Linked DNA regions of Nothobranchius furzeri. The protein of the gene in region 5 purifies or fractionates together with the protein of the main gene of each other region. This does not show direct contact. Links are inferred from orthologs where the notes say so. Each region holds a gene or a part of one and is shown on either strand. Other genes may lie near its edges. The genes, in order: cep97, cep76, neurl4, ccnf, centriolar coiled-coil protein of 110 kDa and cep290.

The links.
Region 1: the proteins of centriolar coiled-coil protein of 110 kDa (region 5) and cep97 purify together in Homo sapiens (co-immunoprecipitation; 10 studies listed by BioGRID and IntAct, with this or other methods). This does not show direct contact. The link is inferred for Nothobranchius furzeri from reciprocal best matches to the Homo sapiens genes CCP110 and CEP97.
Region 2: the proteins of centriolar coiled-coil protein of 110 kDa (region 5) and cep76 purify together in Homo sapiens (co-immunoprecipitation; 4 studies listed by BioGRID and IntAct, with this or other methods). This does not show direct contact. The link is inferred for Nothobranchius furzeri from reciprocal best matches to the Homo sapiens genes CCP110 and CEP76.
Region 3: the proteins of centriolar coiled-coil protein of 110 kDa (region 5) and neurl4 purify together in Homo sapiens (affinity purification with western blotting; 4 studies listed by BioGRID and IntAct, with this or other methods). This does not show direct contact. The link is inferred for Nothobranchius furzeri from reciprocal best matches to the Homo sapiens genes CCP110 and NEURL4.
Region 4: the proteins of centriolar coiled-coil protein of 110 kDa (region 5) and ccnf purify together in Homo sapiens (affinity purification with western blotting; 7 studies listed by BioGRID and IntAct, with this or other methods). This does not show direct contact. The link is inferred for Nothobranchius furzeri from reciprocal best matches to the Homo sapiens genes CCP110 and CCNF.
Region 6: the proteins of centriolar coiled-coil protein of 110 kDa (region 5) and cep290 purify together in Homo sapiens (co-immunoprecipitation; 6 studies listed by BioGRID and IntAct, with this or other methods). This does not show direct contact. The link is inferred for Nothobranchius furzeri from reciprocal best matches to the Homo sapiens genes CCP110 and CEP290.

Annotation. Positions count from the first base shown.
Region 1 is NC_091754.1:25,621,390-25,625,418, forward strand, and holds the end of cep97 (centrosomal protein of 97 kDa), read left to right. Parts: coding exon 1-129; intron 130-217; coding exon 218-376; intron 377-477; coding exon 478-579; intron 580-664; coding exon 665-778; intron 779-873; coding exon 874-1,040; intron 1,041-1,125; coding exon 1,126-1,290; intron 1,291-1,400; coding exon 1,401-1,579; intron 1,580-1,674; coding exon 1,675-2,323; intron 2,324-2,447; coding exon 2,448-2,523; intron 2,524-2,823; coding exon 2,824-3,297; 3' UTR 3,298-3,529; downstream 3,530-4,029. UniProt on the Homo sapiens protein: Acts as a key negative regulator of ciliogenesis in collaboration with CCP110 by capping the mother centriole thereby preventing cilia formation. Required for recruitment of CCP110 to the centrosome.
Region 2 is NC_091745.1:49,054,253-49,058,544, reverse strand, and holds the start of cep76 (centrosomal protein of 76 kDa), read right to left. Parts: upstream 2,801-4,292; 5' UTR 2,391-2,800; coding exon 2,328-2,390; intron 1,971-2,327; coding exon 1,785-1,970; intron 1,677-1,784; coding exon 1,586-1,676; intron 1,500-1,585; coding exon 1,275-1,499; intron 1,197-1,274; coding exon 1,011-1,196; intron 188-1,010; coding exon 90-187; intron 1-89. UniProt on the Homo sapiens protein: Centrosomal protein involved in regulation of centriole duplication. Required to limit centriole duplication to once per cell cycle by preventing centriole reduplication.
Region 3 is NC_091742.1:53,449,486-53,452,248, reverse strand, and holds the end of neurl4 (neuralized-like protein 4), read right to left. Parts: intron 2,295-2,763; coding exon 2,201-2,294; intron 2,132-2,200; coding exon 2,024-2,131; intron 1,943-2,023; coding exon 1,798-1,942; intron 1,690-1,797; coding exon 1,577-1,689; intron 1,463-1,576; coding exon 1,303-1,462; intron 1,226-1,302; coding exon 1,021-1,225; 3' UTR 501-1,020; downstream 1-500. UniProt on the Homo sapiens protein: Promotes CCP110 ubiquitination and proteasome-dependent degradation. By counteracting accumulation of CP110, maintains normal centriolar homeostasis and preventing formation of ectopic microtubular organizing centers.
Region 4 is NC_091752.1:57,970,053-57,974,127, reverse strand, and holds the start of ccnf (cyclin-F), read right to left. Parts: upstream 2,801-4,075; 5' UTR 2,569-2,800; coding exon 2,556-2,568; intron 1,529-2,555; coding exon 1,374-1,528; intron 1,282-1,373; coding exon 1,175-1,281; intron 1,100-1,174; coding exon 1,032-1,099; intron 876-1,031; coding exon 679-875; intron 480-678; coding exon 426-479; intron 132-425; coding exon 27-131; intron 1-26. UniProt on the Homo sapiens protein: Substrate recognition component of a SCF (SKP1-CUL1-F-box protein) E3 ubiquitin-protein ligase complex which mediates the ubiquitination and subsequent proteasomal degradation of target proteins.
Region 5 is NC_091752.1:57,254,215-57,258,239, reverse strand, and holds the end of centriolar coiled-coil protein of 110 kDa, read right to left. Parts: coding exon 3,922-4,025; intron 1,759-3,921; coding exon 1,685-1,758; intron 1,605-1,684; coding exon 1,539-1,604; intron 1,453-1,538; coding exon 1,393-1,452; intron 1,166-1,392; coding exon 1,090-1,165; 3' UTR 501-1,089; downstream 1-500.
Region 6 is NC_091744.1:50,508,598-50,512,686, reverse strand, and holds the start of cep290 (centrosomal protein of 290 kDa), read right to left. Parts: upstream 2,801-4,089; 5' UTR 2,593-2,800; coding exon 2,485-2,592; intron 1-2,484. Other genes in the region: protein O-mannosyl-transferase TMTC3, read left to right, coding at 3,834-4,022. UniProt on the Homo sapiens protein: Involved in early and late steps in cilia formation. Its association with CCP110 is required for inhibition of primary cilia formation by CCP110.

The DNA.
Region 1 (4,029 bases), on a different chromosome or scaffold from region 5:
TTTTCAGATCAAGGCATGCAGAAACTAGATTCCAGTTTCACATGTTCTGAGGATACTCACACCCTCATCTTGGACCGTAACAACATTATGAAGCTGGATCACCTGGAACGATGCCCCAGCATTCAGCAGGTAACTGCATTGACCTACAGTAAATGGGTGAACTCATGATTTCTAATTCAACGTCTTATCTTTAAAATCTTCATCATTTTCTAATCAGCTATCGGTAGCCAATAATCGCCTGGTGAGAATGATGAGTGTTTCTCGGCTGACTGAGCTGAGAGTACTCAATCTTCCCAACAACAGTATTGGTTACATCGAAGGGCTGCGAGATCTGCGTCATCTGAAATGGCTCAACCTGTCTGGCAACAACATTAAAGTAAGATTAGATTAATGCCTGTTTTTACATTCTTGTATTTGCCAACATCGTTTCCTCATGGATGATGATAGAGGTTTAACAGATTCCTTGGTCTGTGACAGGTCATTGAACAGCTTAACACCTGTGTGTCGCTCCAGCACCTGGATCTGTCTGACAATAACATCTCAACGACTGGTGATCTGACTAAACTGATGGCATTAAAGGTCAGTGGTTATATGTGCATAAAAATAGCATACGAAACATTTTCTTCAGTGTATCTTTTGATTTTGTTTTTCAATCCCACTGCAGACACTTTTACTCCATGGAAACAGCATAACAACCCTTCGTACTGTTCCTGTGCACCTTCCTGCTCATTTATCCATCTTGTCCCTGGCAGAAAACGAGATAAGAGATCTTAATGAGGTAATCAGCTTTTTCTGCTTTCATTTTTTTTTTATCTTGATGATACGACCTAAAAACACAATAGTTTTTCATTAACCATGATGACTACTCTTTAGGTGTCGTATCTTGCTCCTCTTCATGAACTGGAGCAGCTGTCCATCATGTGTAACCCTTGTGTCATGGCGACGCCCATGTTGCCGAGTTGCGATTATCGACCGTACATCATGAGTTGGTGTCTGAACCTGAAGGTCCTCGACGGCTATGTGGTGACACAAAAAGAAAGGTGTCTTCTTGTAATCTTCTAATTGACCACAATCTGGAGGTTTTTGTATCTTACTTTTTTTTTTAAATTATTTTTATAATTACAGTCTCAAAGCAGAGTGGCTCTACAGCCAGGGTAAAGGTCGCTCATATCGACCAGGGCAGCATGTCCAGCTGGTTCAGTACTTGGCCACTGTTTGCCCTCTGACCTCATCACCAGCCCTGGAGACAGCAGAAGATGCAAAACTGGAGAAGATCCTCAGTAAACAGAGGTATCCATGTTAATCAAATGGAAATACTAACCATTAAAGCAAGAGTATTCTGATGTCTTATCCACCTTTAAAATTAGCTTGAGTTTGTTTTGGAATTTTGTTTGTGTCAGGTTTCATCAGCGCCAGCTGTTGGAGGAGATACGAGGTGGCTGTCCCAGTCCGCCTCGTCCAACTCAGCTTGACGTGGAAAAGCTCAGTCCCTCACGTGCGAGTCCGCAGTGTGGAGCTCAGGAGGTGAAGCCAGTCGCCTCACATTTACCAGCTGCTGCTCCTTCTGTCCAAGAGAACGGTAAAAGGTTTTTTTCCCTCCATGTTGAAGTTGTTCTGATGTGTTTTTATTGGTGTTTTGATGCTCAGCTGCTGATACTATCTGCTTTTGTGCAGAACCAGTGGTGCAGTTTAACACATGGGTGAGCTCTGAGTGTTCCCATCGATCTTTGCCAGTGGTTCGCAGCACAAAACCTGCCAGCGAGTGCATTTATTTGGAGGATGTGCAGACTGATGAGGACAAACTCAACAGCAGCTTGCTGTCCTCAGAGTCCACCTTTCTCCCCTTCATGTCTGATTTTGAGTCGCAAACGGCCCGCTCTGACAGCGAAGACGAGACCGAGACGTTCGAGCCCGACTCTCTGGCACCAAAGCGCCCATCGCAACCCAAAAAGCTCAACACAAGCAAGGCAAATAACCTGTCTCCGATGACTAAAGATGAGAGGAAGGCTCCTGGAGAGGAGGTTGTTGCTGTTGCAACTACAGCAGCTGCATCAGCAGTCAAAGTTAGTTCATCGCAAAATGATCTAAAAATATCTCCTGACTTTGGTAAAGCCAAAGTGAAAGTACCTAAGATGGAACAAGCAGATACGTGTGTCAACAAGTCAAGTCTGATAGAAGCAGAGAATGCAGCAATTAAAATCCAGTCCTGGTGGAGGGGACACTACACTCGGGGTTGTCATCCTGCAGCCAGAGAGGTGCGCGGCGAAATCCGTCTGCGGCGGATGCAAGAACACATCGTCTTCCTGTCGAACAAACTGGACACGTGAGTGACTTAACATGAATTAACTGTCACAAATCTCTTTATTAACCATTTTATTTAAAGTTATACCTTAATATATGTCTGGAAGTTGAGAGATTTTGTTAAATTTAACCTGATTTTTTTGCAGCGTGCAAAAGCAGTATGAGGAGGAAAGGTTGCAACGGCTGGTTCAGGAGGAGGCTGTGAAGTTTCTGTGGAAAGAGGTTAGAAATTGCATTTATGATCACTTTAAGTAACGGTTTAGTCAGTGCTATAATCATTTTTAGTAGATATTTAGGTAAATTAAAAAAACTGAAGGCTTAAAGTAAAATAAGGAGCAGTTTTGACATTTTAAGCAGCTTAAGTGCAGATAATTTGCTTCTGATTTATTTAAAAATGCAAAAAATGTAAATATTATAAAATGTAGATTTCTTTTTTGCAATCAGGTCAATTTTTCTTAACCTGCTACTCTGAGATGTAGTTTATCACTTATATTTTTATCCTTTACTTTTATTTTTGTTTAGCTTCAGTCCATGCAGCAGTGGAAGCAGTCCGTAGAGGAGAAGCTGGCAGCTGTGAAGTCTGTCAGCGCAGTTCAGATCTCATCTCCTGCACCTTGTAACACCCCCCCACCTGTTGTCACCACAAACCCACCGAGCACAGACGTCTCCTTCCCCGACTCCGGCTTCCAATCAACCAGTGATCGCCAGGCAGCACAGGACGACAGCTTCCTGAGCAGCGGGACGGCCGACACTATAAAAACCGTGCGAACGCTGAGCCCCATTCGAGGTGGCCTCACTGGTGATGCAGTGGACAGTGCAGAATGCAGCCTTTTGGAGGAGTACCTGTCCTCTGTGCAGCAGAGAGAGGAGGAGGCTGAAGAAGTAAACAGCGATATAATCGGAACACCATCAGAGTCACCAAGCAGGACCAACCACTCCCCCACAAATAAGGAAGCAGAAATCAATCCAGACTCTGTGAACGTCCTCTCATATTGAACATTTCTCCAAAGCGCTACTGAATGTGTGTAACATAGGACTGGAGATACAGATCAGCCTAAAGCTGCACTCATATTGATTTGTTAAGCCAGATAAAAGTGCTCATAATACTGAAAGCTTGAAACATTACCTAACAGTGAATGTAATACAAAATGTTTTATAATATCCTTTCTGCTATTTATATATATATTTTTTACTTTCTTTATTGAATTGATTGAATGTGGTGTGTGAATATTATTGAATCTGTTAATTTATGTGCTTAAACTATCAGCAATCCACTCACTGATTAATAACCTCTAAAATGTCACGTGTCTGTTACAAACACGCTACTATCAGTTATATGTTCTGAACAATGTTATTGGGTAATAGAAAAAATGTTGCCTTATCTAAAATTTTAAATAAACCTGTAGTCATATTAGCATCGGACTGCAAAAGTTGCATTTAATGAGATATTTCAAAATACTCACTTATAATTTAGACTCTTGGGAATTAGAAAATGACTGGATATAAATCATATAAGTGTTTCGCCACGAGGGGGCACGGTAGCTAAATTTACCCTCCAGCCACATCTCGGTTCATGTTATATTCAGGGAGGGGGCCTCGTCCGGCGGAGAGGGTGCTCCCTGCGGAACCACGAAGGTGGAGCTGCTCCAGAGGGTGGAGATGCACCTAGAGTCAGCTCCACCCGTTTCTGCTCCAACTAAATAAAAAGTCATAAAATCATAATGATCT
Region 2 (4,292 bases), on a different chromosome or scaffold from region 5:
GTAACCAGCAGTCGCTCATTAAGGTCTCCATGTTTGCTTTTGTTTATCCTTTCTTGAACAGTTGGGTAAAGAGAATCTGCTGCACTGACCTGTGTGCTGATGACATCACTGTTCAGGTGCTTGGAGAGAGGAGGGTAGAGCTCCAGGCTGACAGTTAAAACACCAGCTGGGACTTTGCATTCACTTCCTGGTGGCACACAAACCTATCAGCAAAGACTGCAGCAGTCTGTAATCAAAGCACGAGCAGAAAGACAACAAGCACTGAGGCCTTTACACGTCTCCACCAGCTGTCCAACTGTGGAGCTCTTGGACTTCTGCAAACGTGCCCTTCTTCATGCTGGCATCTACTGAAGTCTCCATTTAGACTAGAAGTGAGGAGGATACATCACGTTGGCACCTCTGTAGCGAGGCTGTACGTAACCCTGAGAGGACCGCTGATAAACGAGCTTAAAGGACACATCAACACTAAACAAATAAAGATTTTACTAAACTGATTTGACTTCATAAGGGTCTTGATTTCATTTATCATCCTTTAATACGTTTTAAGACCCCGCCCTGAAGTAACATGGCTTGTTTGTTGAGGGGTTTCGTACATGGTCTGTATTTGTATAGCGCCTTCTTAGGGTTCTACAGCCCCCCCAAGACGCTTCACAACACAATCAGTCATTCACACACTGGTGATGATGAGCTATGATGTAGCCACAGCTGCCCTGGCGCCACCGGTCCCTCCGACCAAGGCCGGTTAACGCCCAAGGACACAACAGCAACATTCTCTGTTCGGAGTGGAGATCAAACCTGCAACCTTCTGATTACTGGGCGAGCCGCTCCAGCTCCTAAACTCCTGCTGTCCCATATGTGCTAACCGATCCAATGCAAAGCTTTGTGTTCATAACACAGATTTCATTTGGAGCATTTAAAAGGGGATTTAAGATGAACTTATTAAACTTTTATCCATTCTCACCGTTTTAAAAACATCAGAGTCTAGCGCAGCAGCTGTGTGTGTTGCTCACCAACTCCCATCAGCTCCACTGCAAAGCACGTCTTGCCACTTGGCGAGCTGAGAACTATCCTCCAGTCCAGGAAGTAGGAGGAGACAAGTGTTGTCTCACCAGAGGTGTCTGTCTTGATCAGCACAAAGTGGACCGGGTCACATATGGACAGCATGTCTGTGGCATCCACCATCTTACTGCCATCTCCTGTAATCCCACAGAAACCTTCTGACGTAAAAGCTGACTACAGAAGGGCTGATGTACTCATTCAGCTGCATCCTTTACCGAGGCCATCTTTGTGCATCTCCAGCAGGAAACCCTCCCTCAGGTCAGGTTCACAGGCACAGGGTACTGGTTTAGAGTGAAACCTCTGGTTGTGAAAGTGTAGGTAGAGTTTAAAAGTAGAGCACACCTGACCAGGTAAAGGCTCTGGCTCCTGGAGGTGCTCAAGAAATGCTTTCCCTCCAAGAACTTGGAGATGAAGATACCGTCTAGATGGATCAACGTTGGCTGAGAAAAATGAGGAGTGCAAATAAAACATCAACCAGTGCAACTGTGCAGTTTGATATTTTATAGATGTAAGCAAAGTTTCTTACTTTTCATATGCAGAGGGACGTCTGGGTTAAACACTCCAAAATGAGTGGTGGGCTTCGGAGGAGGTTTTAGTCCTGCATCTGGAGCTGTTCCCTAACAAAACAAGCAGATTTCGTTAGGAAATTAAATAAAGGACTCTGCTTTTGATCAGGTTCAAATGTTATCTGGCATTTTAATCCTGGAATATCCAAAGCTATTAACCTGAACAACATCTGTATGGTGCAGGGGAGCCTGGGTAAAGTGGAGATCTTTCATCACATCGTCTATGATGCCTCTGCGTTGGAGAACACGAAGGACATCTGCCTCAGACAGAGAGCGATGCCCTGAGCCCTGATCCTCTCCGAGAGTCTCAGCAATAAGCTCTCGGATCTTCCCATGGATGTCCATCTGACCACAGATAAACACTCATTATGAGGCTTTTACTTTAGCCGAAACAAGAAACACGTTAGTGAAGCACCGCTTCAGAATAAACTTTACTAACAGAATACTTTAGGTTGGGTTTGTTCTATCTGGCTCATAAATACACACACACACACATACATACATTCATACATATACATACACACACACACATACATTCATACACAAACACGCATATACATATACATATACACACACACACACACACACACACACATACACACATACATACATACATACACACACGCGCGCACACACAAAGAGCGCTTCAGCACATTAACAACACAAGCTGTGGCTAGCTACATAAGTAAAGAGTTGGCTCACCTTCAGTAAATGGTTGTGGATTCTCTGCTTCAGCTCGGAAGCTTTCTCTGAAGGAAGAGACATTGCAGCTTCGGCTAATGATGAACCCAGAATAAAACGTTCACCTAACAATAATAAAAGCGTTATTCCTGGTCTGAGCTATAATCCCTATGGACGTGTGCATTTATTGAGTTTTCTGTACTGCTGTTCTTCACAGACCAGTTTGAACGTTTGAACTTTGGCGAAAAAGCTAGCGCGCAGGTATTTGCCTCCGCTGATGCCTGAACAAAATAAATGTAAAATGACTAAACAGTATCAGTTATTAGGTAACACGATTACTTCAATTTCACTAAATCCTACAAATATTAAACTAATCATTGAAATACCCCATTTAAAGTGGTTATGCTAAAAACATTGTTAAATTTAGTCAGGCTTAATATTAGTTATCCTAATGTCATCAATGCAAGCGACTCTCCATAAAAGGACCCACAGTTGTAGTTCAAATTAAATTTAATTAATTTAGTCAGCAATTTAGTCGCGTTAATTTCTGTACTTTTGATTTGTTTTGTGCTTGTGTAATTCTTATTTTAAAATACATAAAACATTAAGTTATAAAATACTAAAACCAACTGAATAACACTACGTTTTATATATATTTATCTTACTGTTGAGTAATCTGTGATGATTCCTCAAACAAATACTGTAAAATATGTGTACTTCCATCTCCACAATAACGGCCTCGTCTTAAGATAATAAATGAGTTACTGGAACCCGGTGTCGGTACAAGATCTGTTCGGGTGCAAGATCGGCTCGGGGTCCGTCGACTGCCGATGACGTCAAAGTAGTTGATTGGCTGAACATGAACCTTACATAATTACGTAATCACGTTACGTTGTTATTACATTACGTTGGTCCAGGCAAATCTTTCTGTTGGAAAGATGGACAACTTTTACAAAGAAATCCATCTGTGGTCACGTGGGTCTGAGGCGGCGGTCACATGGGTCGGATGCTCATTAATTATACAGAATTTTAGGCTTTTAATACACTTAAACAGAAGAGTGAGAAAAAAATTCACCCCCCTCAGAGTTGTCATGAGTGTAAACTAGATAATTTAAACCAAAAAATGTTTTGGTACCAGGCCATAAACATGTTTATTTCTGCTGTGAAATTGATATTTTTAACATGGGAGTCAATGAGGATTTGCTCGCTTCTGACACCAGCCCCCAGCGGATGAGGGTGGAACTGCAATTTATTTCATTTCCGCGTTTGCTTTAATTTTTCACCCGCATTGTGGGGGCTTGGTTTTACCTAAAACATGGTATCTGCCAAGGATGCCCCATCTCGCCATACTTATTTTTACTTTGTACCCAAATTCTTACAACTCACATCTCAAATAGTTTTGTTCATTTATATTGTTCTTCCGGGGTCCCATGGTCCGGAAGTAGATGGGCGTGGTTTATGACCTCCTGTTACTGATGAGAAGAACAGATTATGATCTGTTTCATTGATACAATCTGGATCGTAGAAGTCCAGGATGCAGGTGGCAAAGATTATTTGTGGATTATTCTGATCCTGAACAGTTTTTCTGATGCTTCCTTCTTTGCAGGAGTCTGAGGTCCAACAGAACTCAAACGTTTCCTCTGTTATGGTTTCATCAGTAGAACACTCCCTCACGTCTTTACTGCCATGGGCATTTTATATTTGCATTTGCAGTGCGTCCTAATTTTCCTTTTGACTTTCCTCATCGAAGGCCTGTTTGCACTAAATGCCACAAATAAATTCCGCATATATGAAGTTCTCAATTTACTTGGCAATAAAGCTAATAATTTATTTCAGGGGCTGCTGAGAACACAATTGACTAACTCAAACGTTAAACCTCAAACTGCTGTACAGGGTGGGCCATTTCTATGGATATACCTCAATAAAATGGGAATGGTTGATGATATCAACGTCCTGTTTGTGGCACATTAGTATATGTGAGCAGAC
Region 3 (2,763 bases), on a different chromosome or scaffold from region 5:
AAATAAACAAACTGCCAGTTTAGGTCCGTTTTTTAGGGAACAATTCAACATGTGAAACAAAAATTAAATTTCATCTAAAATGAGCTTTTCCGTGTCTTTGAATTTGTAAAACATCTTTCTGGGATAAACAGGGTGACATTTTTTTTCTTTTTTAATAGTAAAATATCATCCTTTGCAAGAAATCCAATCATTTTAAATAAATCAACATAAAATAGGAAGTTGAGATTTTTTAAATTCTACATTATGAAATATTTAGTTTTAAACGCTGAGCAAATGTAGCGCCTGGCACTATTTTCCATTCCCAAAAGTTGAAGTGGAAATTTTAAAAGATCAAGTATTAAAGTTTGTGTGAATAATTATTTTAATATTTTTAAATTAATGTGAAAATTCAGGGTCAGAGAGAAAGCCAACAGCACTAATAAAAGACACATGGGCATGAAGAGGGCAGCAACAATGGTGGGGTTGTAAACATGTTTCTCTACTCCTTCCAGTTTTCAAATGTTGCCCCTAAAAAGGTCCCAGTCACTTCATATTTACGGGTTTAATATCTAATTCAAGTGTAATTTTTACATTATAGTTAAAACGATGTCCCTGTGTTTTATTTATATATTATAAATGAATATTTTTGTGCTGTTTGACGTGCAGACAGACGTGAGGCAGCTTTTCCCAAAATAACACTCACCAGTGTGGAGGCTTGTCCTAGTAAACGTAAGTGCGAAAATCAAAAGTAAAAAAATACACTGATGGGGAGAACTAACAAACCTGTTGTGTTGACGAGGAGTTTAAAAATCGCCCACAAGTGTTCTAAACATAAAGTGCAGGCAGTGTCTGTTCGTCAAGACAGCCACAGGTTTCGGCCGCCGGGAGAAAGTCTTAGAGCGAAGAACCAGAACCAAAGTGTTGAGTCGTCAACAATCCCCGGTAGGACCAGCTGGATTCCACAGGAGCCTCTTGATCCAGTCAGAGCTGGATTTGTCAGGTTCATTAGAAGTTCAAGCAGTACCTCCTTTGTTGTCGTGTTCACTCTATTCTGATGAGCAGTCCGTAGAGGAGCGTGCCGCCCTGCTCTTTAGTGATCCACTCGATCTCCGTGTTGCTGAAGCGAGGATCCAGGGGCTCGCTGTGTCCTAGAGTCTGAGGTCCTACCTTATAGGAGCCTGGACGCACGCACACCTGGAATCCCACCTGAGCTTGGTGACAGCGGTGGGAACGGGGGTCCCGAAATCTGTGTGACGATGAGAGTAACCGTCAGTGCGAGCCTCTGTCTAAACCCACAGCAGCAGGCTGTTTTTATGCACTTACTGCACTTTAGGAGCAAAGATCTCTAAGCCGGAATAACGCATAGTGGGGGAGAGCCGCACTCTGGGAACCTCCCTACCGGGGGCGCTGTTCTCCTCCGGCTCACTGTAGCTGTTTGGCCCCTCCGCCTTCACCGGAGACACCGAGAAGATGGACGAACACCCTGCAGCAAATTACAGCAGATTTAAGCCTCCGCTTTCAGCCACGCCAGAGCGTTGACAAAATATTTTAAAAGTTTGTTTTTAAGAAAAATAAAATGAATGATGGCGAGTTGTACCAGGAAGCAGCTGGCCGTGGTCCAGGGTGCGTCGCAGGGCTCCTACGCTGGTGCCGTGGTATGCTATATGCCACTTCTTCATGGCGTTAGAGACCTCACAGTGGGACTTTATCCTGAAAAGACATCACAGATGCTTCAGTTCTTTTCCTTTTAGTTTCGACTCTCTAACCTGTTCAAAGGTCTCGAGTAGGTTTTAACAAAACAGGAGACGGTTGTCTCACCTGAGAGCGAAGCGGCACCATCCAAACGGCAGAGCGTAGTCCCGCGGCGGCTCTCCCCTCTTGTAATACGCCTCGTCTCCCCGGAGCTTGTGGCAGGACTCGCAGTAGCACAGGTTGCATTTAGCGTCCTCATTGAAGTACCCATCTTAACAAATAGCCGGTAGTAGAATCATTAGTTTCACCTGTTAGGCGGGAAGGAGGATAAAAACGCAGGTTTTGAACCGACCTGGTAAGGTAAGCAGGTCCTTGAAGCGGGAGCACAGAGCCTGGTACTCGCAGGTCTTGTTGGGGTTAGCTTCTGGAGGAGGCGTCCAACACACGCTCTCTTTGATCCCTGCACATCCAATTCACGTCATCTGAGATCTAAATCACTATAAACGCAGAGGAGTTGGTTTTTATTTACCGTCAACCATGTCCGCCTTCTCCATGTCCGCCTGACAACGAGTCTCACCGCCCTCTGCCCCCACAGCTGCCACTGTGCTGGTTACTATGGTTACCTGTCAGCAGGAAAGGACGTGTTAGCAAACTGTTTTCTTAAAAAACTCTGAATAATCACATCTCACCTGTTGTAGCCTCTGTTTAGAGACATAGGGTTTAAATCCGATAGGATTGATGAGCTAACAACTAGGCCGAGTGAGGCCCGGAAAACGGTTGAAACGGTAAAATCCTTCGTCGCGGCACTGTTGACAGGAATCTTTCCTGTTGGAGCTAAATCTGAAGGCCTCGCTGCTTACGCCTTTTCTACATTTAGACAACTAAACGTTGAGTAGCTTTTACTTTTTATTTCATCAGAATATCAAAAGTATTTTCTTTTACATATATTTTTTGGGAAAATAGGTTCTGGTCCCCCAAACCCATGCTGCTGCTCATCAGATCTTCCAGATGTGGCCCCAGAGCTGCAGGTTTCAGGACTAGCCGTTGGCCCTTTAGCTCTGCATTTCTCCAAACAGAAGCCTATCTCCACAA
Region 4 (4,075 bases), about 720 kb from region 5:
AGGCAGAAAGAAAGAACGACGCTCACAGCTGCTTTGCGGCTGTTCTCCCACAGCAGATAAGAACTCAGCAGACAGCCGGCCTGAGACGACTCCTCCAGCAGAGATACAGCGTTGGAGCGTCGCCCCTCGTCCTGGGAAAGACAGATGGTTATAACCACAGAATGTTTTGCTCTTACATTTGTAAGAAAGCAGTGAAATAACAGTCTGATAGATATGATTTCAGCAAATTATGAAACCTCACAAGTCTAAAGCATCAATCAGCAAAACTCGTAAAAGCTTTGGGGGACTGATTAAGAGTAGGCCAATCGTAAAGAGGAACATGGCTGGGGACACGTCACGTGACAACACACGGATTTACATTTTTACTCAACGGTAATAGAAACCGAGCAAGCCACACCCAGAAAGTCAAATTCAGTCTCACTCACTTCAAAAAGAAGCAAAACTCTGGCCAAACAGTGCAACAAGGGTCCCTTCTTCTCCTGCAGGGAAAGAAAAAAAACAAGCGTTTCAGTTCCCAGTGCTCCTCTCATGGGTTATGCAGGGGGAAAGCAGAAGCTCATGTTCTGTTTGGAGCTTTAAACCTTCCTAGATCCATACGCGGCTCGAGCTCAATGCAACGGACAAACACAGCTTTATTCTGTGGCTTCTCATCACTGATCTGGCGGCAGCAGAACCTACCATGTTGCCATCGCACTCAGCCTTGAGGCGATCAAACACCACGGCCTTGCAGCAGCTGCCAGTGGGCGACCATGGTGGACGGATGAACACCCAAGTGAAGGGATCGGTTTTGGGGGAGCGGAGACTCTCAGCCAAACTGAAGAAGTGGGAGGCTTTTCGACCACACACATCTGCTCGCCCCTCATCGCTCAGCAACGCTGAAGGCAGGAAAGAAGGCCAGAGTGAAGGGTCGTAACCATTTATCAAGAGGGTTTGTGTCTCTGACATTAAAATGACACTGCTGTGGTGCTTTGAGCAGAAATTTACTACATTCTGAAAAGAATAAGAAGAAAAAAATAACTGTTTTAACTTACGTCCTTCATTGTACAAATAAGCAATTCCAAGTTTCACAGCAGCTTCAAAATTCCCCTTTTCAGCAGCTCTGAAGTGAGAATTTTATATTAATTTCAGTAAACAAAAGCAAGTATTTTGTTGTATTTGTCAGAAGGAACCGTACCTTTCAAACAGCCACAAGGTGTCGGGGGACGGCCACTTGTCTCTGAAACTGACCCTGGCCCACACACTCGAGTGGTTGTCAACAGTGTCCCGCAGCTGGGAGTGAACCTACAACAGAAACCTGGATAACTAATCCCTGAACAAGAAACACGACAGAAGAGGCTGTCAGACGTTTTGTGATGGGATTTACGTTCACTCACCGCTCTTACTGACAGCAGATCCTCAGCAGAGAGACACTGAAGCACACATAGAACGACTTCCTCAGGCAGGGAGAGCAAAGTTAAGTCTGGGGATCGTTGACGGACTCGCTTCCGTGTCGGAACAGAGTAGCATTTTGAACACCGGCAGTGGACGACTGGAAAATAGAGGAAAAAATACTCAAATCACAAAATTAACACACTTTTAGAGTCAAATACTTTTTAGGTGTGTACACAGGAAAATCAGTAAAGGTCTCGGTGCAAAGCTGGAGATGTAATTCTCACTGTAACGCAAAATGAACATTTGCATTTAATTAATTCTAACACACGAGTCAGGATGTTAGGCTTTCTTTGATTTATATGATTTGACACTTTCAGTTACTATTAATTTCCTGGGTTGTGAGTCTGCCACAAAGAAAATTAATGTAAAACTACATTTGTAAAATTTAAGTATAAAAACCCAAGTTTGTACAAAATACAGTTGAAACTAATATCATTTAGAATCTGAATTGAGCTTTAACTCAACCAACACCATAAATTATTGTTTCTTTTTTGCATGATAGGTATGAGCATAATTCGACATTTTAAAATAATATTTTAAGAAGTATTTATTTGCATAGTTTAGAGATAAATGATAATCTCGTAGTAGTTTTCCATCGTAGTTTTCCTACTTACTCCACAGTTTAATCATGCCTACTAAAATAACTCCACATGTTCCTCAACACGTTAAACCACATGTTGATCAAATGTAGACGAAGAAAAAGCCTAAATGAACACAAACAACCATATTTGAGCTGTTTGGGGAAATCGAACAGTGGTGAAATCTTAACAGATGATGTCAAACCAACTGAGCGCCCAAATTTCCCTCCTGTGGGTTCAATAAAGTACCGTTACGACCAGATCTCGTTCATCCACACCTAACTACATATCATCTGACACCAACCACGAATATTAGTGCTACAATTCCTAAATGAGCCGTGGGTGTGTTAGATGTATATTGAAGCTTTTGAGCTAAATGGTACACCAAGTTCCTGTTGGGATCCATCACTGCACTAGCTAACGCCTGAGCTGACAAGTACCTAGCAATCGGTTTGAGACCAAACACACACTCCTAAACACTCATTTCATACCAAATTATTCCCATTCGTCTATTCTGAGTGGGTAAAGCGGAAGAAAGTTACTTACCGCCCGCTTTCATTGCAAGTAGCTTTCCTTTTGCGCAGAAGCCTGTAGCAGCAACACGGAGGAGCCGTTTTAACGCAGTGTTAATGCAAGTTAAGGCAGGCAGGCTACACCGAGCACCGTTTGGAGTGAATTAGAGGCTAAACAGTGTTAAAGTTAATGTTGAGTTTGTGCGGCTGACTAATAACTCAACATCAAGTTGTCTGAATTCAAATTCATGCACGAGTCCGGACAAGGCTCCGCCTTAAACTATGTAGGACCGCCCGCGCGCACGGTTTAAACTCTACAAAGAAGTTGATTGGTAGAGAGCAACATCGTCAGCGCGTGACACTACAAGCTTATGATTGGACAATAGGAATAGAGGCAACACAGATTGGTCTGACACCTTGAACTATGAAATAACCGAAGCTCATTGGAGGATGTAATGCCATTTCGAAGTACGCGCTCGTCTGTGTGCTCTTACGATTGGTTGACTCGATTGCGTGTGTCCGCCTTGTTGAAAAGGCGTGTGGGAAATGTAGTTAAATGGAAAAGTGGCGTTTAAAGGTACATAATTTAAAGGGACATGCCCCCAATGATCCGTCCAAGGGGGAGTCAGGGTTGGAGAAAAGTGCAGTTACTTGACCCGGTGACACATTTACTTTGTTTCTTTTAAACATTCTAAAGCAAATGATTTTTTTTCTCTCTAAAAGATCAAAGGTTTACTCTGTGTCACTCAGAATGATTTATTTTTTATAATAACTGTAATAAAGTATCTCGGTGAGAATATTATCAGAGAGATGTCACCAATGCACAGCAGAATCCAGAAATTATGATAATGCCTTGTTCATGGGTCACACACTAAGACCAACATAAGATAGATGGGAAGCAATAAAGTAACAGGTTGGTTTGGGTTTGAGGAAGCTTCCTCTGAGGAAATCACATAATTAAGACCTTTTTGTTGCATCCCTATTGACAATAAATAGAGAGCTCTCTCAGCCAAATAGCATCCTCTTGATTGTTGGTCTTTTGAAAGGGGTCATAAAGAAGCAGACTACATCTGGGAGTATTCGTTTGTTCCTTTCAGGCTCTCTATTGATCTGTAACATGTTCATTTAGTCTCATCATCACGAAAAAGATCAGGAGCTTCACATTAATTTTAAAAAATAATTTTTTTTTACAACTTTAAAATGTTTTTCCCAGTAACGTCCCAAAGCACACAATAAACAATCAGCCACCTTTGTTTATCAAATTGAACTTACTCACATGACAGTGAATAAAGCAAATAAATTAAATGCCTTTTTATTTTCTCACTGGGGATTGCAAAGTCTTGCTCTGCTGAACAACGAAGGTCCAGAGCAATCACATTATCTTGTAGCTGACAGAGTGACCTCAGTCAGGGCAAGGGCTTTGACATCCTCAACTAGATGCACCGTTTCCATAGAAACTCCAACCCAGCTCAACTATTTTCCCAGTAAAAGCACAAAGTGAATAGCAAGGGACACGCCACTTAAAGGAGTCTCAAATAATAAAGAAATTACAAC
Region 5 (4,025 bases):
AGTGAGCGCCGTAGATGGCTGCTCTCGCTGGGGGAAACAGGATCCCACCCCCCCACCCCCGCCTTCCTGTTGGAGTCTCATGTTATGTTGTGTCGTCTGAAGTCTGTTGCATATCTGCTGAGGTGTTTTTTTTTTTGCAGAGCAAAGCTGCTGGAGGGTAACTCTGAAATGCCTTTTTTTCCCTCCACCTGAACCAATCCTCATGTAACCCTCTTATCTCTATTAAGGTAGCGCGACTCAGGTTGCGAATGACCACAGTCACCAGTTCTTGTCATGTGTCTTGCCCATGTATGTCTGATCTCTGAATTGTGTGTACTGAAACTCTAATTTCCCTCTGGGATTAATAAAGTATTGATTGATTGATTATATTAAAGATATATATATATATATATATTTAATATATTTTGTGAGAAAAGATAACTGCATGTATGTATTTGATATTATTTCAATAAACTTGGAAGTTTAACACAAATCATTGTGGAAGGTTGCGAAAATACAAATAAAATGAGCAGATTCTGATTTATTCAGGAAATAAAATCAGAACAAGAAAAACAGAAATGACATAAAAAAGTCACACAATAAATGCAACTGATGACAAACTACACTAATTTAACTGCAGAAATATATCAAACTGGCTAAAATGGTGATAAAGTACTCAGCACCATTAGCTCCCCAAAGCACAGAAAACGAGTCAAAGCCCTTTAACAAAATCGTCATAAATTATACACGACTAAATACTATTTCAAAACCTGCAGTTTGACATTCAGTCTTAAAATTCAGTTACAACGATGAGCATTTCATATGTCTGATAACATCAGATAAACAATACAAGCATGCTAAGGTGTAGTCCAGCTGTTTCTACGGCCTCGTTACTGGATACTCAACACACACACACCAACGTTTCAGCAGGAGGCAGCAGTAAACACAACTACACTGGTGTTAATGAAAACATGGAGGCGATTAATATCATCAGAGATAAGACTTTAAGTAATGGTGTTAGCAGCGCTGTAAAACAGGTCCAGTGGTGCAACATTCAGAATAAAAGAATGTAAATTCAAGTTAAGAGGTGGAGCGGTGCTGTGTGGTGTGTTAACCCAGAGAGTGCTGCTTCTTCAGGCTGTCCGAGCGCCTCACTCTCTCTTCAGGAGTCTTTCTGTACCAGCTCCTGAAAACAGGGTTAGGGTTAGCCACGGTCACTGGGAGGAGTTTAAACACACCAGATCTCTCACAGAGTCACTTATAAAGGAGAAAGTTACTCATAATTCCAGTAAGATCAATTATGGATAGGAACATGCATAAAGAGATGGAGAAGAGAACGTTTTAAGACTTGTTTTCCAAGAGGAAGTGAGACTTTTGCTGTTTGAAAATGGTGAAACTAAAAAACAAACTCACCCCTGGCGGTGCAACTGGCCTGGAGTAGAGGAGTTCTGGTTTTGACTAGGCTTCAAAACTCTGGAGAAAAACAAACAAAATTATTTCAGAGAAAATTGGAACTATAAAAAATAAAACATCAAATATAGATATTAATGAAATAGAACCTGGTGGTTGTGGGGCTTTTTGGCTTCTGCTGCACCTTCCTGACCTGACCGGGGGACTCACCAGCTCTACAGGATTAACAAACACAAATCAGCATCATATCCAACACAACACGACACACAAGCTGTGATTTTAGCTCCTCCCTCACCTCTTCTTCCTGTCCAGAGACCGCTGAGTGGCAGCAGAGAGAGAGACTCTCTCCTTGGGACACTTGGTTTTCTCCTGAAGAGGAGAATTCATTTATGTTGGTGAGATATTTTTAAATAATTTAACACAAAAATCTGTTATTTCTCCAGTTACCAAGAAAATATGCCCCAGTAAACACTGACGTTAAACCAGTGGCTCTCACACCCAGCATGCGTGGAGCTGCAGGTGGAAGTGGAGCAGCACCAGGATCTACATCAGTTTGCATTCAAAAAGCAACAGCGGTGCCACCAGGTTTAAAAACACCTGGAATTGGTGGAGCAGGTGAAAATGAGCTCAGTATTTTCTGTTACTGTAGCAGCATGGGGCACCCACAGGGCCGCAACTATTCACCAACAGTTTACACTAATTGATAGCTTCCTGCTTAATCAACTTGTTGTTATATCTTCTGATTTCTCTGCTACACTCAGTCTGCTAACTACAGATTCCACCTGAAAGGGCCACAGCTGTGCAGAGGATGAGTGTGTGAGCTGGAGTGATGCTCACCAACTCTACATTAACACAGACGAGACAGTGGAAATGCCCATGGATCACAGATCAGCTGGAGACCACCTCCCGGTGGCCGTGCATGGGCACAGCATTCAGCACATGGAACCCTTCATAAGATGGGAGTTCACGTTCATTTAGACCTTAGCTTGCAAACACAGGCGAACACAGCAGAGTTTGTCTCTGTGAGCACAACTGGTACATGCATGCACTTAGCTGTTCCTGCATCAGTTAAAAGGCTAGTGCACACAGACAATGAGCTGAACATATCTGGAAAATTGAAAAGCTGCCTAATTCCTCGGTTTAGGACACATATGTCAGAGTCAAGGCCTGCGGGCCAGATGTGGCCCGCGGAGCATTTTTATGTGGCCCGCGAGATAAATATCAAAACTATATTAAAACTGGCCCGCTGGCCGATTTTACCGCTTTGCGGCGCCAGCGCGGAGCAGACGTGCCCCCTCCTTTGTGTTTTTTCAGCGCCGAGGCAGTCAGAGGTAGTTGGGTGTCTGCAGCTCCGCTGTCTCGGACAAACTACACTCCTCTCACTCAGCGCCGAGTTCACTCAGCTGTTTTCTGACGTTGAAGCCCAGAAACGGAGATTCTAGCCGCTCAGTAATGTGTTCACGACTGAAAGAGAAAGTTTTCAAACTAACTTCCAGACAGAGCTGATATAACTCCAGCGAGCAGCGACACGCTAAAACCAGCACGACTCTGTGGTTGTGTTTCCTCCCCGACACACAACAACGTGGTCAAGCTGCTCAGACATGTTCATCAGCACAAACCTATGTGAGCACCTGTTGTCATCTAATGTTGTCGTTATTATGATGAAGATGAATAAAACAACAGGAGTCTCCTCCTCAGTTCAGATCAACCCCATGATGCAGGTATCTGGCTGGAACAGGTGAGCATCACAGTAAACCAGTGGAGCAAACTGAGCTTTAAATATGTTGGTTTTATGCTCGTTTTCTGCTCCAAAACATGAAAGTTAACAGGTGAGATGTTGCATTTTCATTTAAGATAAAATGATATTTTTATTTTGTTGTTGGCCCGTGAGAAAAGATTTAACCTACAGTAAACAGGAAGTGGAAAGGCTGCAGATAGATGAATAGAATAGAAAATCCCTTTATTGTTCCTCAGTGGGGAAAGCTAGACGTCACAGCAGCGATGACGCGTATTACAGGAGAAAAAAAGGAGAATAAAAATAAGAAAAATGAATAAACAAGAAAACATAAATCCTGAATAGATTTTAAAAGTGCTGAATATACCACAAGTAATGAATACCACTGATGTGTTTTATTTGTAACTGACTTGCTCGTGTGTAATTTGGTTATTCCACATTCAGTGTTAATGCAGAAATATGTTTGTTTCCAAATTTAAAGGTTCAAAATTGCATACATGTTGATAAAGAAAACGTGCAAATTTGCTGTCACTTTTTCAAAAAATATTAAGTTTGGCCCTCGACTCCGTCCCAGAGTTTCACTTCGGCCCCTTGTGAGTTTGAGTTTGACACCCCTAGTTTAGGAGCATATGGCTTCCAATGTGTTTTTGAACAACTTTTTTTCTAAATGATGTTTTTCATTAGTTCTGTGTTTTTTTTTTTTTTTATCTTTGTGATGTGTGTGCAGTGTAACCCCTCTGTCTCTATTTTAAATTAAAAAGCCATAAATGTTTCCTCCCTGGGTGTGTTTCGTGTACCAGGTCTCGGAGCTTCCTCTGTACACGCAGCTCTCTGTCCTGCTGCAGAACTGCTAATCGATCTGTTGAAGTCATTTCAAAGAAGATGTCGTGCACGTCGTAGA
Region 6 (4,089 bases), on a different chromosome or scaffold from region 5:
ACTGTGAGAGACAGGATTGGAGGATTTTAAAGAAATTATTTGTGCAATGGTGCAGAAAATAAGTATTTGGTCTATAACAAAATGTCACCTCTATACTTATGACAGAGGTCACGTTTCCTGTAGGTCCTCATCAGGTTTGGACACAGTAGCTGGAATTTCCAGCCACGTTTCAGCTTCAGTGCCTTTACTGATGGAGGAATTTTTTTGCCCAGAATCTCACTGTTGATGGTCCTTTTATCCCTTTCATTAATACAGATCAGTCGCCCGTCCCCTTAACTGAAGAGCATCACAAAACATGATGTTTCCACCCCCATGCTTCACACAGGGTGTGATACTATTGGGATGCATCTCAGCATTATGGCCCCTCTAAACATGGCAATTGGTGTTTATACCAAATAATTCTATTTTGCACTCATCTGGTCACATGACATTCTCCCAGTCCTCCTCTTGATCATCCAGATGGCCTCCAGCAAATCTTATTTATCTTCAAATTATTCTCTTCAGTGTTGGTGCTGCAGCAACAAGTGAATTTTCCCTCTGTGGGATCAATAAAGTCTATTGTATTCTATTTGACAGGCCTGGACATGCTGGCATAAGAAGGGAGACCTTACGGGCGCTGCAGGGTGTTCCAGCTCTTTTCAGGTCAGTGACCATTTCCCCTCATATAGTTTTGAGCTGTTCTCAAGATCATTTGTACCCCACTAATTAAGATCTTGCATGGAGCCCCAAGTCAATGGAGATGTCCAGTGACCCTGCATGTATTCCATTTTCTAATAATTGCTCCAAGTGGATCTCTTCTCACCAAACTGCTTGCCTATTGTAGATTCTTGTGCAGGTGTACAATCTTGTCCCTGGAGTCCTTAGACAACTCTGGTCTTGGCCATGGTGGAGGTTGGTGTCTAACTGTTTGAAGGTGTGAACAGAGGTCTTTTATACAGTTAACAAGTTCAAACAGCTGCCATTAACACATGCAGCAATTGGGGGACAGAAGAGCATAGAAGACAGGTGAAGTAATGGGTTTGTTAGGGATTCTTGCTTGTTTGTAGGTGCTAAATACTTATTTTTTGCACCATTATACAAATAAACAAAATAAATCATACAATGTGATTTCCAGGATTTTTTTTACATTATCTTTCTCTCACAGTTGAGGTGTACATTTCATGAAAAGTACTCTTTCATCTTTTTAAAGGTGTGGTTGACTGAAAAAAAACATTTTTTTAATGAATCGGTCACTGTGAGTTTTTCATGCAGGCTGAACATGAAAAACGTCTCCTACACTAATCTCCTGCATTAGCGTTCTATCAGCTTTGTGGGCCAATCGGTCTGGTGGGCAGGATGATGCGACAGAGTGGAACAAAATGGCGACCGCTCATTTGAAACAACTTCTACATCAATTTTGGACTATTTGGACTTGGGCTTCATTAGAATCAGGAGCAGATAGATGTATTTAAGTCCTTTAATTAGAAAAAAGGATTTATTTTTGCCAGCGGACCGCCTCATTTACCGGCATCCGTTGCGGTGAGTACGTCACTTTGTTCGTTGTCCAGTTGCATACGGAGATCCTTTGAAAGACATGGTAGAAACTGCCCCACAACCAAGAACAGTCAATGGAGCATTGCCAAACTAAGATATTTATTAAGTATAGCTTGCCAGGCTACTAGTATATTGACTTACAAGGCATTTATTCCTACTAGAGACCACTACAAATAGATTGATAAAATAAGTCACCCACACCACACAAGTGGGACACCTAGTAAAATCAGTGGCTGCCAAATACTTTTTGCCCCAAAGTACATTTTGTTGAAAAGAATTGCAATAATATTTTCTGTATTTTACAAACAAAACAAAATGCTGTCCAGTTAATCATAACCAATTACTCGTCCCTTACTTGAATTTATTTCATTCTGTGCTATTTTATGAAGTTATTCTGCTAAACAGGCTTTTCTTAAACATATGACAGCTATTCATTTTTAAAATGAAAGATCTTTACAAAAATGTATGCATTAAACCTCAAATTACTCCCAAATGTATTTAAAAATATAGATATTTAACAAAAAAAGGACTTGATAAAAAGTGAAAATATGAGTTTTGTTATGGGAGCTTGTTTTCCCCCCATCTCTTCTCTCATTGCACTGGCTCTAAATACAATGATGTGAAAAATATTTACAGATGTATTCACAGTGAATTCATTATTAATAAATAAAATATTCAGTTGAAATCTGTATTCTGAAAGTACTTGGGTTATATTTAATAATAACAATTGTGTTCCTGAAAGATTAGTCTAAAAACAGCAACAACAACAACAACAAAAAAACAGAAGTAGCTCAAGTAGGACAATTCATGCAACCGTTTTAGTAATAATGAGGTTTAACGCTTGTTTCCTCCACTCGCTTCGAATTAACTCGTTTTCTATTGTTTAAAATAAAGCATTAGTCTGACAGAGCACATCTGGAGAGTTCATATGATTTAAGAGTGGACAAATACCGAAATAAATGTGCGGACAACATCGTCCACTTCGTCCTTTTTCCATTCATGCACGTTCCAGGGGTCAAATCTTGACACTTTATTCCACACATGGCCGGCTGGCAGCATTTTGGACAACTGCTGTGGTTATCAATGTTTTCACGAGACAACGACTAAAAGGCTACTGCAGCCGTCAGGTGTACCAAATAACTCTACTCAGCTCCGCTGTAACCTCATATAAAACGTAGATTTTGGTAGGCTGCTTTAAACACGTCGTGTAAACGTTTCTGAAGTTTTGAAGCAAAAAGGTCAGTAAACTCTCATCCTAACTCCTGAGGTCTCTGTGAGGCTTTGGCTGCTAGGTTACGCTTCACAACTGCTACAGCTAGGAAGTAAAACTCACAAAAATCTTCAAGTGCTACAAAACGTCAACGAAAACACAACGAAACAATAAACGGGACCCTATAATAAAGGAATACCGCACTATAACGTTTCCGAAGAGTCTGTAAAGTGAGTTTCATCCATCAAAACGGGTTTAGCAGCTCTGTTGTTTAGCTAAAGTTTGACCTGCGCAGTCACCTCTGACCCGGAAGTACTATCGAAGAAGCGTTTAAGCTAGTTTGCACAAATGGAAAACAGTTTGATGAACTATGTTGTCCGAATTTACGCTACTATTTCTTGATTTTGATATAAGATTTGGTGTTGCTGCCGTCTGTCCTGTAATCACTTGGTAAGATAGACCTTAATGCGCATATTTAGACATTTCAGAACATAAAGACGGGTAACGAGCTAGTTAGCATTAGCGGATGAAGTATCTAGCTGTTCAGTTTCAGCTGTCAAACTGAGTTTCTCTTACTGCTCTTTTAGTGGTGTCTCGTCACTGTGAATACACAAGAACCACCTCGTTTTCCGTCATACTGTATTTTAAAGTAGATGTTAATGAGCGAGTTATATTGCTAATGATGTTGTTACTGACAAATGTCACAGCTCCGGGTCGTGGTTTGACCGGATAAGCTTAAAAGCCAACGGTCAGTCTCCATGCATACCTTTACTTGCTGTGCCATTAAAATACCTTACTTTTAATTATAGGCTAGAATAAATAATCCAGTCAATCAGAGAAGAAAATACTGTTGAAATTGCAGTTTGTTGCCATAACAGGGCTCAAGTTAGACAGAAAACATTTGATGTAATTGGCTTCATGACCTGTTCTAACCTCGGAACACAAAGTTTTAAAAGTTTAATTCTGTTTAATCAGCTTGGTAATGTAAGTACAATACAAGCGTTTTAAACTAAATCAAACTGTGCTTATTAATTTTGATTTCTGCCAACCCCTCCTTCCCTGCAGTGATCAATGAGGGCTTTGGCCAGCCATGGCTGTCGTGTCATGGAAGGAGATTTTATTTCTGACTGGACTGGTGGTGGGATGTTACTGGAACAGTCTCTCGTGTGGCTTTGTGTTTGATGATGTCTCAGCTATCCTCGACAACAAGGACCTCCGGCCCACCACCCCCATTCGCAACCTGTTTCTCAATGACTTTTGGGGCACCCCCATGGCTGAGGCAAGTCATGGTCCTATTTGGATACAGGCTTATTTTTCTCTTCAGAGATTGTATGTTTTACAGCAGG